2 linked regions of the Caenorhabditis elegans genome follow. The protein of the gene in region 1 interacts with the protein of each later gene in a pairwise test. Each region holds a gene or a part of one and is shown in the gene's direction. Other genes may lie near its edges.

Evidence for each region. The genes of interacting proteins can lie anywhere in the genome.
Region 2: the proteins of nhr-273 (region 1) and mec-3 interact in a two-hybrid assay, tested with the Caenorhabditis elegans proteins (one large-scale study listed by BioGRID).

The regions. Positions count from the first base shown.
Region 1 is NC_003280.10:4,432,277-4,438,200, forward strand, and holds nhr-273 (Nuclear Hormone Receptor family), read left to right. Parts: upstream 1-3,023; 5' UTR 3,024-3,102; coding exon 3,103-3,194; intron 3,195-3,238; coding exon 3,239-3,324; intron 3,325-3,562; coding exon 3,563-3,960; intron 3,961-4,005; coding exon 4,006-4,190; intron 4,191-4,285; coding exon 4,286-4,661; 3' UTR 4,662-4,722; downstream 4,723-5,924. Other genes in the region: toe-1 (HEAT repeat-containing protein 1 homolog), read left to right, coding at 124-221; nhr-109 (NR LBD domain-containing protein), read left to right, coding at 1,127-1,218, 1,259-1,344, 1,577-1,944, 2,263-2,447, 2,499-2,871.
Region 2 is NC_003282.8:10,457,193-10,464,795, reverse strand, and holds mec-3 (Mechanosensory protein 3), read left to right. Parts: upstream 1-2,928; 5' UTR 2,929-3,029; coding exon 3,030-3,107; intron 3,108-3,502; coding exon 3,503-3,553; intron 3,554-3,694; coding exon 3,695-3,810; intron 3,811-3,860; coding exon 3,861-3,933; intron 3,934-4,234; coding exon 4,235-4,486; intron 4,487-4,558; coding exon 4,559-4,672; intron 4,673-4,715; coding exon 4,716-4,929; intron 4,930-5,638; coding exon 5,639-5,706; 3' UTR 5,707-5,980; downstream 5,981-7,603. Other genes in the region: ugt-43 (glucuronosyltransferase), read right to left, coding at 1-137; srb-17 (Serpentine receptor class beta-17), read left to right, coding at 7,559-7,590. UniProt on the Caenorhabditis elegans protein: Transcription factor. Specifies differentiation of the set of six touch receptor neurons (TRNs).

The DNA.
Region 1 (5,924 bases):
AAACTGTAATTACTATATGAAACAAGCTTACATAAAAGTTATGAAAATCCACTTTTTTCTCGATTTTCTTGTCCTGAAGATCAAATTATTTGCCTATTATCCTTTAAAATTTTAAATTTCCAGATGAGAACAAACAAGTCGAGGCACAATGTCAAAAGGTTATCAATTCTCTTCAACACAAATTCGGAGAGACATTCTGGAGTGGCGGTTCATCGGCTTAAATCAAAATATTTGTTTTTTTGTTGTTTTAATTGTTGGTTTTGTGTCTTTTTTTCTAGCTGTTTTGGTTTTTAAAATTTTTTTAAATTTTGATGTTTCAATAAAAATCAATTATAAGAAATTGGCATCTTACGAGGATTTGAAAAAATCCATATTATTCATTAGTGGGCAGCCTTGCCCTAGTAGGATAAGAATAATTCTAATATATGTAGGCAAAAATAGATGGATTTTCCAAACTTTGAAAATTCATAAATCTCTTCAAAGTAACTTTTTTTGAACAGTCTTTCAGAAACTTTGTAGTAATTTTTAAGCTCTTTCAGAATATACCAACAATATTCTAGTAGGTACAAGATGCTTCACGTAGTTACAGAAATAGTACATTTTCAGCCCTACCTTTTAGTGCGTATTTTATTATTTAATGAAAACTACCATTTATAGACAAAAATAGATGGATTTTCGAAATTTTGAAAATTCATAAATCTCTTGTAAATAATTTTTTTTGAAATGTCTTTCAGAAACTTTGTAGTAATGTAAGGATTGAAATTTTTGAATAAATTATGAGTTTTATACAACTGTGTGTATATAAAAGGGGGAAAACTTGAAAATTATATATCCTACTTTTCAAAACAAATTTTAAAAAAAACTGAATAAATTAATTTGACAAATTTATAACCAACTGACCAAAAAATTATTTGGAACAATTTTCTGGAAAAAAGCTTTCGAAGAAGTTAATAAATTTTCAAATCCAATTTTACCGGAAGTGTAAAATTTCTCTATTAATTTTTTTGTTTTCCACCTCTCTCTTGGGCAACTACAAGAACTACATACACTCTCTCATTATCATTCTTATCATCAATTCCTCTTTTCTCTATTTCTTTTTCTCATCCATTTTCTCCAATTTCCCGTGATGGGGCCTCGATCAAAAGGGGAAAATCAATCGAAATGTTCGATTTGTCAAGAATCTGGAGATGGTTTTCACTTTGGAGCAGAAGCTTGCAGGTAAAATTTAAATTGTATACAAGACATCGCACAATTTCAGAGCATGTGCTGCATTCTTCCGGAGAAGTATTTCAGAAAATAAATTATATACATGTAGCGGAAATAACGATTGTGATGTTACTGTTAGTGAGTAAAAATTAATTGACCTGTTTTGAGCCAAAATTTTGGACTATGTTATAAACTCAAAGGCATTCTGTAAAAAAAAACTTCAAAAAAATAAAACATTTTCACTAAGGTCGGGCTTACAAGCCTACATAAGGCTCAGTCTAAGCCTCTAAGCCTAGGCCTAAGCCAGGCAGACAGGCAAGTCGGCTTGTTCTCTAAGCCCAATTGAAATTATCTATCTTGATTTGTTTAGACATCAGATGCATGTGCCGGGCATGTCGACTTACCAAATGTATCGAAGTTGGAATGAACCCTGTAGGAGTTCGGCAGAAGCCTGGTAGTTTCCGGAAATCAAAGGAACTCATCTCTCCCAGTTCATCAAATCATGACGAGTTCAGTCGAATGCCAATACTTTCAAAAATGAAATTGAACTATGAAAATATGAGAAATGCCAGGAAAGCATTGCACAATGAAGTTGGAGAAAATGTATTTGAGGAGAAGATTCCAAAAGAAATAAATTATAAAGAATCAGTTCAGCAGGGAATGAAGGATTATACGCTGATGCCTGAATGGGTGTCCTCTTGTTTTGATGAGTTTCGAACGTTATCCGCTGATCAGAAAGTGAGTCGGAAAACTTAAATGGCTATTTTAACACATCAAATGTTTCCCTATACCTTGAGGCAAAAGGTAGCCATGTAGGTAGGCGAAAGGTGCGTAGGTAGGCCCTCAGAAATGTGGCAGACATGTAGGTAGGACATTTGCTAAGGCATGCAGCAGATCTAAATATAGCGGTGCCTTACAGCCGTACCTACCTGCTTGTCTACCTATTTCATATGCCTACGTAAAATGTCAAAACATTTTTGAGCAAATTGAACAATAATGAGGCTAAAACTAGACATGTTAAAAATACTTCTATTTTTGAATTTTCCTTTTTTGCAGAATATCTTGTTCCGCAACTCCTACATTCCATTTTTCATGATGGAAACTGCATTTTTAAGTCATATCAACAATATGCCGGACTCTGTCATTTTCCCATCTGGAGACTATTGTGACATGAAAAACTTGGAGCGATACTATAATTCTACAAATTTTGAAAAAAAAATCAGCACGGAAGATATTGAAAAGTATTAGAAAAGAGATGGTTAAACTTAACGTTTTTTTTTTCAAATTTTCAGCTTGTTCAAGCCGTTCTACGACAATTACAAGAGATCTTTGCTCCTCCCAATGATGAATCTTCAAGTTGACATCTATGAATTTCTCACACTTTTTACACTTCTCCACTGGGATACTGGCCTTGTTGAGATCACCGATGAATGTCTGGAAATTGGCACAAAAGTCAAAGCAGAAGTATTCAAGGAGCTGGATTTCTATTTGACAAATGTGAAGAAAGTCGCAGAGCCATCAGTTAGAATAGGGACAATTGTCAACTTACTTCCAGCAGTTCATAAAAGCGTACGGAGAATACAGGATGACATGGAGATGACTAAAGTCTTTAATATTTTTTCGGCGCCCAATGAGTTTTTTGATCTTGTTACTGGCAATTTCTGAGAATAAAAGAAACAAAATTCTTGTTTTATTTGTTTTACTAATTCAACTTACAAAGGAATACGTTTCAAATGAATGCAATATTGCCTCGTAATTTTTTTCTTTTCCGCCTCTCACTATTTATCAACAGAAAACCATATTTTATCTTTCTATCTCCATTATCAATCATTATTCTGCACTTTGTGTGTTCATAAACTATTGATTAATTTAAAAGAAAAAAATTAAATTGCTAGAATGGGACCACGACAAAAAGATAAGGATCAATCGAAATGCTCAATTTGCCGAGAACCTGGAGATGGGTTCCACTTTGGAGCAGAAGCTTGCAGGTACTTATTTATTTATAGGTCAGACTTTAAAACCTAGATTTCAGAGCTTGCGCAGCATTTTTCCGTCGAAGTGTGTCCCAGAGTAAAACATATTTGTGTCAAGGGAATAACGATTGCGATGTTACTGTTAGTGAGTATTTTTAAACTTCTGTAAATATTAACATTTAATTTTTAAAGTACAAAAAATAACATATTAATCAATTCCTTACACAGGCATGTTGTACCTTTGTAAAAGCAAAAGAAAATGTAACATATTTTTTGGGAAAAAAGGGACCGCCTGAAAAAAATCACGGTCGTTTTTTTGAAGTTGTTTGGACCAAACTTTGGATTAGTTTAATTATTAAAAATTTAATATAAATAAAATTCAGATATTCGATGTATGTGCCGTGCGTGCCGTTATGTCAAATGCATTGAGGTTGGAATGAATCCTGTCGGAGTTCAACAGAAACCAAGACTACCCAAAAACCGCAAAGAAGTTTCAATTGATTTACTCTCGAGCCCCCGAACGTCCAACTCATTGATGCTCGAACTACCACTTACGGGTCAAATGCCAATTCTCTCAAAAATCCGAGCAAGTTACCAAACAATGTGCAATGCTCGGATAGCGCTTCACAAGGCTGAAGATAAAACTGTATTTGAAAAGAGAACTCCAAAGGCAGTAAATTACAAAGAAGCGGTGAAGCAGGGTATGAAGGATGTCACGTTGGCTTCTGATTGGGTCTCATGGAGCTTTGATGAATTTTCCAACTTGCCGATTGATCAGAAGGTAGGTTTTTAGGTTTTAGCAGTTAAAGTGGATTGTTTTTTTCAGAGAATTTTGTTCCACAACTCGTACACCGCATTTTTCATTATGGAAAGTGGATTTTCGAGTCATTTGAACAATACACCGGATGCAATAACATTCCCATCTGGGGACTATATTGACACAAATGATTTGAATTCATTTTACAATGGTACAGATTCTGATAAGCAAATTTCCAGTGAAGATATTAATAGGTGAGTAGGAAAAAACTCGATCTGGAATATGTCGTTAGAATATTCCAACTATTCCTGAAAAAATCAGTTATGTACAACAAATCTAAAAAATTTAGACTCTTCAAGCCATCCTATGAGCGCTTCAAAAAGTCAGTGATCTTGCCAATGATGACTCTTCAAATGGATATAATAGAATATCTTGCTCTCTTCACAATGTTACTTTGGGATACTGGACTTATCGAATTGAGCGATGAATGCATTAAAATTGGCGATAAGATCAAAACTCAAGTATTGAAAGAACTCGATTTTTATATGAGGAATGTAAAAAAAGTCGAAGAGCCTCTTGTGAGAATTGGAACTCTTGTGAATATTCTACCAGATGTGCATAAAAGTGTTCGTAGGATACAGGATGATTTGGAAATGACAAAAGTTTTCAACTTGTATGCGCCGTCCGATGAATTTTATGATCTCGTGATGGGAAATTATAATTGATATCATATTTTAAGTTTTAACTAATTTTTACTCATTTTACGATAAATGTATAATATATTGACAATCTGCTTAAAAGACGGCCTACGCCTACCTGAAGGAGTGCCTAAAGCCAAAATAGACGTGAAAATTTGTTTCAACTCACTTTAGTGTACTTTGCTTCTGAGTACAGAAAATAGATGGTAGGTAGGTAGAAGGTAGGCATATATATAGTCAGATTTTACCAATTCTCCATTGACATTGAATGTATTTAAATCGAGCTGAAAATCGAAAATTTGAAAAAATTCTCTGAAAAAATGAGAGTATAGGGAAAGATGTTCAGTGGACCAAATAACCGCTTAAACTCGCTAAACTGAGTATCTTCAAACTGGCGTATCTCAAAAAAAAGAAATATTTTTTATTTTTATTACATTAATTATTATTTGAATACACCAACTATTTGTTGAGTTACACAGAGTCAAAGCCATTTTTCCAAAATTCACAAAAAATTTTGAGAACTCTTTTATTGTATCCTTTATAACTCAACATTCATTGAATTTCAAAAGATAAATTTTGTTAAATAGTAAATGAAAAATATTTTTCCACATTTTATCAGTTTTGTTTTTTGATATTTTTATGTATTGTCAAGTTACAGACCGTTTTTCAAAAAAATCAAATTTCCGCCATAAAACTCTTCATATACAACGTATCGGCTTGAAATTTTGAGAAATGATCATTTTTTTGAGGTCTCTACAATGTCCTAAAAAATCTTTCAAAAAACACTGTCCATCTCCAAAATCGTCCTTTGCTCCGAAAAATGAAATGGGACTTTTGCTTTTCGAAAAATGGGCCAAAAAATCAAATTGCGATTTTTGAGTCGAAAAAAATATTTTTAGAATGCTGAGAACACGCTATTTACGAATTTCATGTTCATTTTAGGTGAATTCTTGTTTAAAATGACCTAAAAATTAAACAAAAAGAACATAATTTTAATTCTCACGTGAAATATTTTTATTTACAATAAAACAATTGAAGCACTGAGCAAGTTACCAAAAATTTTTACGTGAGAATTAAAATTATGTTCTTTTTGTTTAATTTTTAGGTCATTTTAAAGAAGAATTCACCTAAAATGAATATGAAATTCGTAAATAGCGTGTTCTCAGCATTCTAAAAATATTTTTTTCGACCCAAAAATCGCAATTTGATTTTTTCGCCCATTTTTCGAAAAGCAAAAGTCCCATTTCTTATTTTGGAGCAGAGGACGATTTTGGAGATGGGCAGGATTTT
Region 2 (7,603 bases), on another chromosome or scaffold:
GTGCTCATAAACTTTAAATGAGAATGACCGGTAACTGGAAGATAAACCAGAACTTTCTTCCCTTTAATATTATTAGACACAGAAAAACAGAAGCTTGCAAGAATAAGGAGCAGGAATGAACAAATTGTGAAATTCATTTTTGATTGAATCTACTAAAATTAAAGTCGTTGCATGTATCTTTATACAGTTTCTATTATCTGAAGTTTGTAGTCCGTCTGATAATGGGACTTTTATTTCACTTTTTACCCCACATTTTGCTTTTTTTTTTAGACAGATACTACTGATAATAATTCTCGCCCCATAACCAACATTAGTTTCATTGTTCTTCAAGAACCAATAAAATAGCAGCTGTTATGTAATAATGTATTCACAGACAACTGATGGCTAGTGTTGTATGTGCACGTCAACTGCCATGTAGGTACTGAACATATAATGGTGTCGAGGTCGTCAATCTGAATTTCCAATGAGAATGTATTCGAGAACGATGCAACAAATTGGCCCGTTTATGGTGGTGTCAGATTTTTAATTTTATTTTCTTCATTTTTTCATGTGTTTTATGTCTATTATCAAACAGTAGCTTTTTGGCTCTTATCAGTCAAGCAAAAATATAATTATTTTTTGTTAAACCGTAGATTGTAGTTATCTTATTTGAAATCACATGGTTTTTTGTGTCAGTAGGAATAGTTTTCAAATTGTTTTGTGACAACGAGGAATGAAAAAAGAAGAAATTACATAAATAAGATTTAAATCTCAATCTAAAAACATTTTTAGAACTTTTTCAAAGATATGTTGAATTCTGGCAACTTTAGGTAGTTTTAAATTTTCCACGAAATTTCAAATCAAATGTTAACCAGTTGGTAATATTTGATCTAAAGTTCATACTAATCTGTAATTTTTTGGTGTAATGCAAAATATTAGAATTTTAAAATTTTGAAATCAATTGTTAGAAAGCGTCTCCCTGTTTTGCATATTTTTGTCGTTTATTTTGTTGTTTGTAGATTTGGGTAGATCTTCAGTTTATATGATCTTCGATTGTGCTATTTTCGGATTTTTATGGATAAAAATTACATCTTAAAACTCTCGGAATAAACTATCAAAATGAGGAGCGATGTGTTTTTTTTTAATTTTGCCCTGCAGGTACCCGGAGTAGTTGGCGAAGATAGAAATGGTGTTATCTTATATAAATTCAGACTTTCTCTGTTAAAATTTTAACCACCAAAAAATATAGAATTTATAAAAAGTTTCATTTTGAAATTTTATCTTTTGGGGCCATTTCACTACCTTATCAGGAAGAAATGTGTTTCATCAGAAATTGAATTTTTCATCTTTTCAGAAAGTGTACCTAATACCGTATCATGCTCATATTCACGTGAATAAGGCTTCTGCCCAGTTCTGTGATTCAAGGAAAACTACGAAAAATGATCTCATTTTCTTTGATTTATCACCGAGCTGGTGTGTCATCACACACAGTCTGTTTCTTGATAAAAACGCGCAGAAGTTAGAGCATTCATTGTGATTTTGGGTCTTTAATTTCTGTAAAACAAATAAAGTGACAAGTTTATCATCTGCCTATTTTATCAGTTATATGCATGGTTAGTTGCAAATAAGGGAGTAGAAATTGACTAAAACTCAAAATGAGCACTGAAACGAGGGGTTTTGTTAGTTGCGAAATAACAATTAATACAATCTGGTTGATTACTTTGTAAAAGGATAATAAAATATGCAAAACTTGGCGTATTCTGAGATTTCATTCCTAAAGACATTTATCAAAACAAATGTTTTCTGCAATTTTCTAAATTCTTGGAATTCTGCCCAGCAGCCTCTAATATCGCGTTTTACTTAGAAAATGACTTTTGGTTTCATTTTCTCATTTTCTGGCTTCTATTTTTCACAAATGCAAATATTTACATTTAAATTAGTACTTTCATTTCTACAAAGATCAAATTTAACATTATTGACAGGTTTACTGTTATCTTGTGACAGTTCCGTACTGTCAATCAAAACGAAAATTAAAACTCATGAAATATCAATGAACATAAATTGAAAAAAAAACCCAGTTGAAAGGAGAAAATAAGCGAAACACACCAACAACTGAGTAGTTACGCTCACAATTTGGAAATGATTTTGAAAACTCTCTGGACTGCATTTCAATTTTTAACAAACAATGAATACATACTGATAGTTTTTGTACTTCTCGGCATTCAGAGGCAACTTCCTGCCAACAACCTGGCAACTTATTTAGTGCCACTAAAATAAGTTGCCAAATTGTTGGCAGGAAGTTGCCTCCAAATGCCGAGTTGGAGCAAATGATTCGATATGATTTTAAGGATACCTACGCATGCCTCCTGCCAAGACACGCACCCACCTACTGAAATGTCGCGGAATTTTACCTCCCAAACTATAGATTGGGTGAAACTTCACTGTAAAAGCTTTTTTTAAGTAGTAGGCTGGCAGTAATGAAGACGTCCATACCATAATTTTTAATGTTGTATAGAAAATCTGAATTCTCAAGTATAACATTTTCCAATAATTAGCATAGTCAGAAACTCTCCACCGCCGTTCCGTTCCTTTTTTTTGTAACTATGGAGTAATAGAACAAGATTATTCAAATTCAAATTTTTATAAAACTTTACAACGTCCTTTCCATATATTCTTCACACAACATTTGAAAAAACAACAAATTCATTCGAAATGCATTGCCCATAATGAATCGACCGAAAAACACAAGTGACCGTCAGGAGATCGATAGAGAGAGCCCGTTCCAACTAGACAACTTTTTAGTGCTTATCCTTACACACACTTTCTAGCTTCATAAGAAATGCATCTATTATCGTCACCATTTGGAGACACCAGTTTTAGCGCACATTAATAATCGATCAGGGTCTAGAGACTCCTGTTGGATTGGCATGCCACGCCTACATGACATCTGGCTCTTGACGGGTGATTTGTTACAGTGAGTAGCCACAATTTCGCGCATTTTCTTCTAAATTTCACTGTTATTTGTTCTTCTGATTTATTTCATTTGAACTATGGAAATGTTAGAGTCAAAGCCTCTCAGTGCGATTAGTATGGTTATTGATTCAATTGGAGTTGATCATGAAAATCAGGTGAGTAATTAAACTTGAGCAGTTGTGAATTTCATCAGAAAACAATTTTTCTTTAAAAAAATTTAAAAGTAACAATTTGAGAGTCAGAAAAATGAAATTAACATCAATCGAAAACTTACATTGCATTTGCTTGAAAGTTTTTACAAAGACTTCTGCGTGTCAAGAAATTCCAATTTGAAATTTATACAAAATCCGCACGAGGGAAAATTTCTGTTCGACTTTCAGAGAGTCAAGTAAAATTACCGCATCTTCTAAAAATTCTGAAAGTTAGATTCTGAAAGTCAATCGTGTAAACTTTTGGTTGGTATTCATTCTATTTTCCAATCTCATTTTATCGATACGATCTCTAGTGAAACTTGTGTCTAACATTCTATAATTTTTTTAAATATTTCTAGAACAAATGTAATTGCTGCAATGAGCAAATTTATGATCGTTATATTTATCGAGTAAGTTTGCTGATGTTTGTGGATTTTTCAAACTTTCTTTGCTTTGCTTCTGTAAACAGTCTGCTCAAAATCTTGAATATTTTTCTTTTGCTTCTATAGTTCGAACAACATTTCAAGATTTCAGCCATCATTTATTTTCAGATGGACAATCGATCGTATCACGAAAATTGTGTCAAATGTACAATATGTGAGTCTCCTCTGGCCGAAAAGTGTTTTTGGAAAAATGGGAGAATTTATTGTAGTCAACATTATTATAAGTAAGCTTTAGCAAAATATTCTTGGAATTAATAAAAATACATTATTTCAGGGATCACAGTATTCATCGGTGTGCGGGTTGCAAGAAAGGAGTGTCACCGACAGATATGGTATATAAACTGAAGGTATTAAATTGGGTCAGAATGTTTAAGAAAACATTAAACTTTGAGCGAACCTATACAAAAAGTTGTCAACTTTTTATCAATTAAATTTTTGACTACTTTTGTATAAACAGTAGGAATGCCCGAAAGATTTCAAAAAGCCTACAATTTCAAATTAAAAAAAAAACCAAAGCTTTGACTAATAGTTTTGAAAGATGTAATCATTTTTTACGCTTTGCTCTTTGCTCTGACGGGATCCTGCTAGACGCACAAGCATAGAGCTTGGGGCTTTGATCGGTAAAGTTTGACTCAAAGAACTTTACAGGCTGGGCTCGTGTTCCATGTGGAATGTCATTGTTGCTCTTTGTGTGGACGGCATTTATCACCGGGGGAACAAATTCTTGTTGACGATACAATGATGACCGTATCCTGTATGTCACATTATCCTCCTCAAATGGATGACAACGCACCTGGAGCAATAGGATCTGCAGTTGATATACCATCTTGTTCGACAGAAAATCCAATTGCCCCATATCCAATTGATGAATCTTTTTCATCAGCTTTCCAAGTTAAAAAGGTATACTTTATTTTTCGTTGAAAGTTTAAAGGGATTAAATACCGAATAATGTACTGCATATTTAATTTTTAGGAGGTTGACGCTTATGGATACAACTTTGAGCATTATAGCTTTTCCGATTTCTGTGATGATGATTCACGAATGCTAAAAAGACGCGGACCTAGAACGACAATCAAACAAAATCAGGTATACAATGTAAGAAAGCGGAAATTTTCATAATGATTTTCAGTTGGACGTGCTGAATGAAATGTTCTCGAATACACCAAAGCCGTCGAAACATGCTCGAGCCAAATTGGCATTGGAGACCGGTTTAAGCATGAGAGTAATTCAGGTTTGGTTCCAAAACCGGAGAAGTAAGGAACGGAGGCTCAAACATTTGTGCAATTACTTGAGACATTATGAGCAACGTGGGCTCATTCCTCCGCCAATTCATTTTAGAAATGGTTAGTTTAAAGATTCAATCTGGAAAACGCAGTAATAGCTCTGAAATTTCAAAAAATAGATAGTGACTAGTAAACATTTTAACAAGTTGTTTTGTTGCATAAACATTAAGTTTGACACTAAAACTTTTCAAATCGGACTTTGTTCATAACTCAGATCCGAAATCTCTAAGCAAATAATTTATATAGATGAAAAAAAACTACCTTCTTTCGTGGCGATAAGTGCCTGTTTCGTGCCTACACATATGCCTACCTACTGTCTTAAAGCATGCGTAAATCTATTCCGTTCACTGAAATTCCGGCTATAACTGAAAACTCCATTAAAACTCCATAAAACAGGCAATAGATAGGCGCTTAGGCAGGGAAACATGTCTCACGTTTCTCTAATTTTCTGTATTTAAAGTTTCTCAATCATTCATTTTTGATTGTTCAAATCTATTTTCATAGAATTTTTTCTTCGAATTTCATGATGTTTAATTATTGAGTAGTTTCCCTATAATTATATATAACGCGTTTCCAATTATTGTCTGTTGTCTTGTTCGAAAATCTAAGCAACACTGATGTGGCAGTACACCAGAATACGCACAGAAAGCAAAAATCCAGAAAAGTTTGAGTTGCCACGTCATAAATCACAAACCAAATGGCTTGGCTCTTTCGAACTTTTTGCTGCTCTTGCATTCTTGTTTTTTTTTATTCTCTTTTTTCATTTCAGAAGAAATGGACACAACTGACTTCAACGCGTTTTGCGGAAATTTCGAAGAGGAAGATGATGAAGATTGATGAAGATTTTTTTAATTTTTAAAACAATATATTCCATTTATATATATATATTTCATAATGTATTTTCCTTCCCAAATCTTGAATTTCATTACATGTTTGCCAAAACTTGTGTTCTGAACTTGTTCAAATATTCACGTTTGCGCGAATAAGTAATTGAATGTCAGTCGATAATCTGATCTCAATGATTCCATTTTTAATTGTCCATGAATCATAAAATCACGAAATCTTAAAAATTCTCACACTTTGTCTCGATTCAAAAATAATCCTAAATGCTACGTTTTTGTGTTGGGTTTGTTGGTTTAAAAACGAGAAAATTTTCAATTATTCCGTCACCTTGATTGAAATAAGATTTGTTTTCCTCGTAAAAGAAAACGGTTCAACTAGCTGGTTTTCAAAAGATTTTCGAACCCTTGTAAAAGACTTATGTAACTCTATAATTAATGTTTCCGTCAAAGAATTGTGTAAATTGTATAAAAATAGTTTTAAAAATTAATGGAGGAAACTTCTTGAAAATTCAGCATTAAAATATAGTAGGTGTGTTTTTTTGTCAACGCCTTCGTGATACCTATTCCAATAACTAAATAGGTTTTTGCTACGGGTTGTAGTTCCTCGGAAAAAGAAACAATTTAATTTACTGAGCTAAGTGAACTATTTCCTCGCAACTTCCACACTTTTTCTTTCCTTCCCCAGAACGAGAAAATATTAGTTTTACCTGTAATTACTAGCTTATTTTCCAACATCTAAAACCAGCCCCCTTGAAGTACAATTAGCCAATGACGCACACGTTTGAGACTTTCAGATCAAAGGAGTTCTTCATGAAAACTTTGAAATATTTTCCCGTGGTCTTTGTCCCTGAATGTTGAAAAAAGTGGGAATTTCAGAACCTCGAGACTTGAGTTTTTAATTATACTGCTTTCTAACCCATTCATGTTTGGGAGAACGATAAAGCTATGAATTATGATCGTAGTTTTTTTTCACTATTTTTTTTGTTTGTTGGCTTTTTTTTCAAAATTTCAATGATTTGTTTTCGCATTGACTTAATCAACTTTCCAAAACATTTTTATTAACTTTGTTTAGATTTATTACTTAAGTTTCTGATTCGGTTTGAAGCATTGAACATTCATGTTTATGAAAAGTGCGCTACATAGTTTAAAAAGCTAAACGTATTTTATAAGTTCGGATAATTACTACGGTAGTCCTTGCATCCATGTCTCTCCTCAAAAGCAAATTCGATTGTTTCAGAATGAGTATCCAACCGCACAAAAACCATGTGGTTTTTTTTGATAATCTGTTGTTGATAAATCATCAGAAGTTAATTTTTAAAGCTCAAAATAGATACAAACTCGTGGAATGTTTTGATACTTTTGGTGACCTAATGAGCAACCTATAGCATGTGCAGCTGATTTAAAAGCGTAGTGTTGATGTAGTGTCGATGACATGTTATGGGTAAATTCATCAAAATATATGTACTTTAGTAAGCTAAATTTCCTGATAATTATCGTTGAGCTAAAGACGTGACGATTTTTAAAAACTAATGTGCACTTACTGTTCATTTGATCATAGAGTTTCTAGATTACAACGAGTTTGAAGAAAAGTGTTAGAAGACTAACATTTGATTAAGCTTGGTTTAAATCGCTAGGGTAGTCATTTTTTCTTGCATCCTAGTACAAGTTTTTTGACTTCTCACTGTTCAAACGACTATCTTTTAAGTTATTCTGAAGCACTTTGAACTTCAAAAAACAAACCACCTTCCCCATCCTCGCACATTTTCTAAACATTTCGTATTTTTCAATTAAATAATCTTGACAATTCTTTCCTGTAGATCATTTCCATCTTGCTCTTAACAATCCAAATGCCCAAAACGAAACTAGCTTCGTCAGTAGAGTAAGTTTTAAGA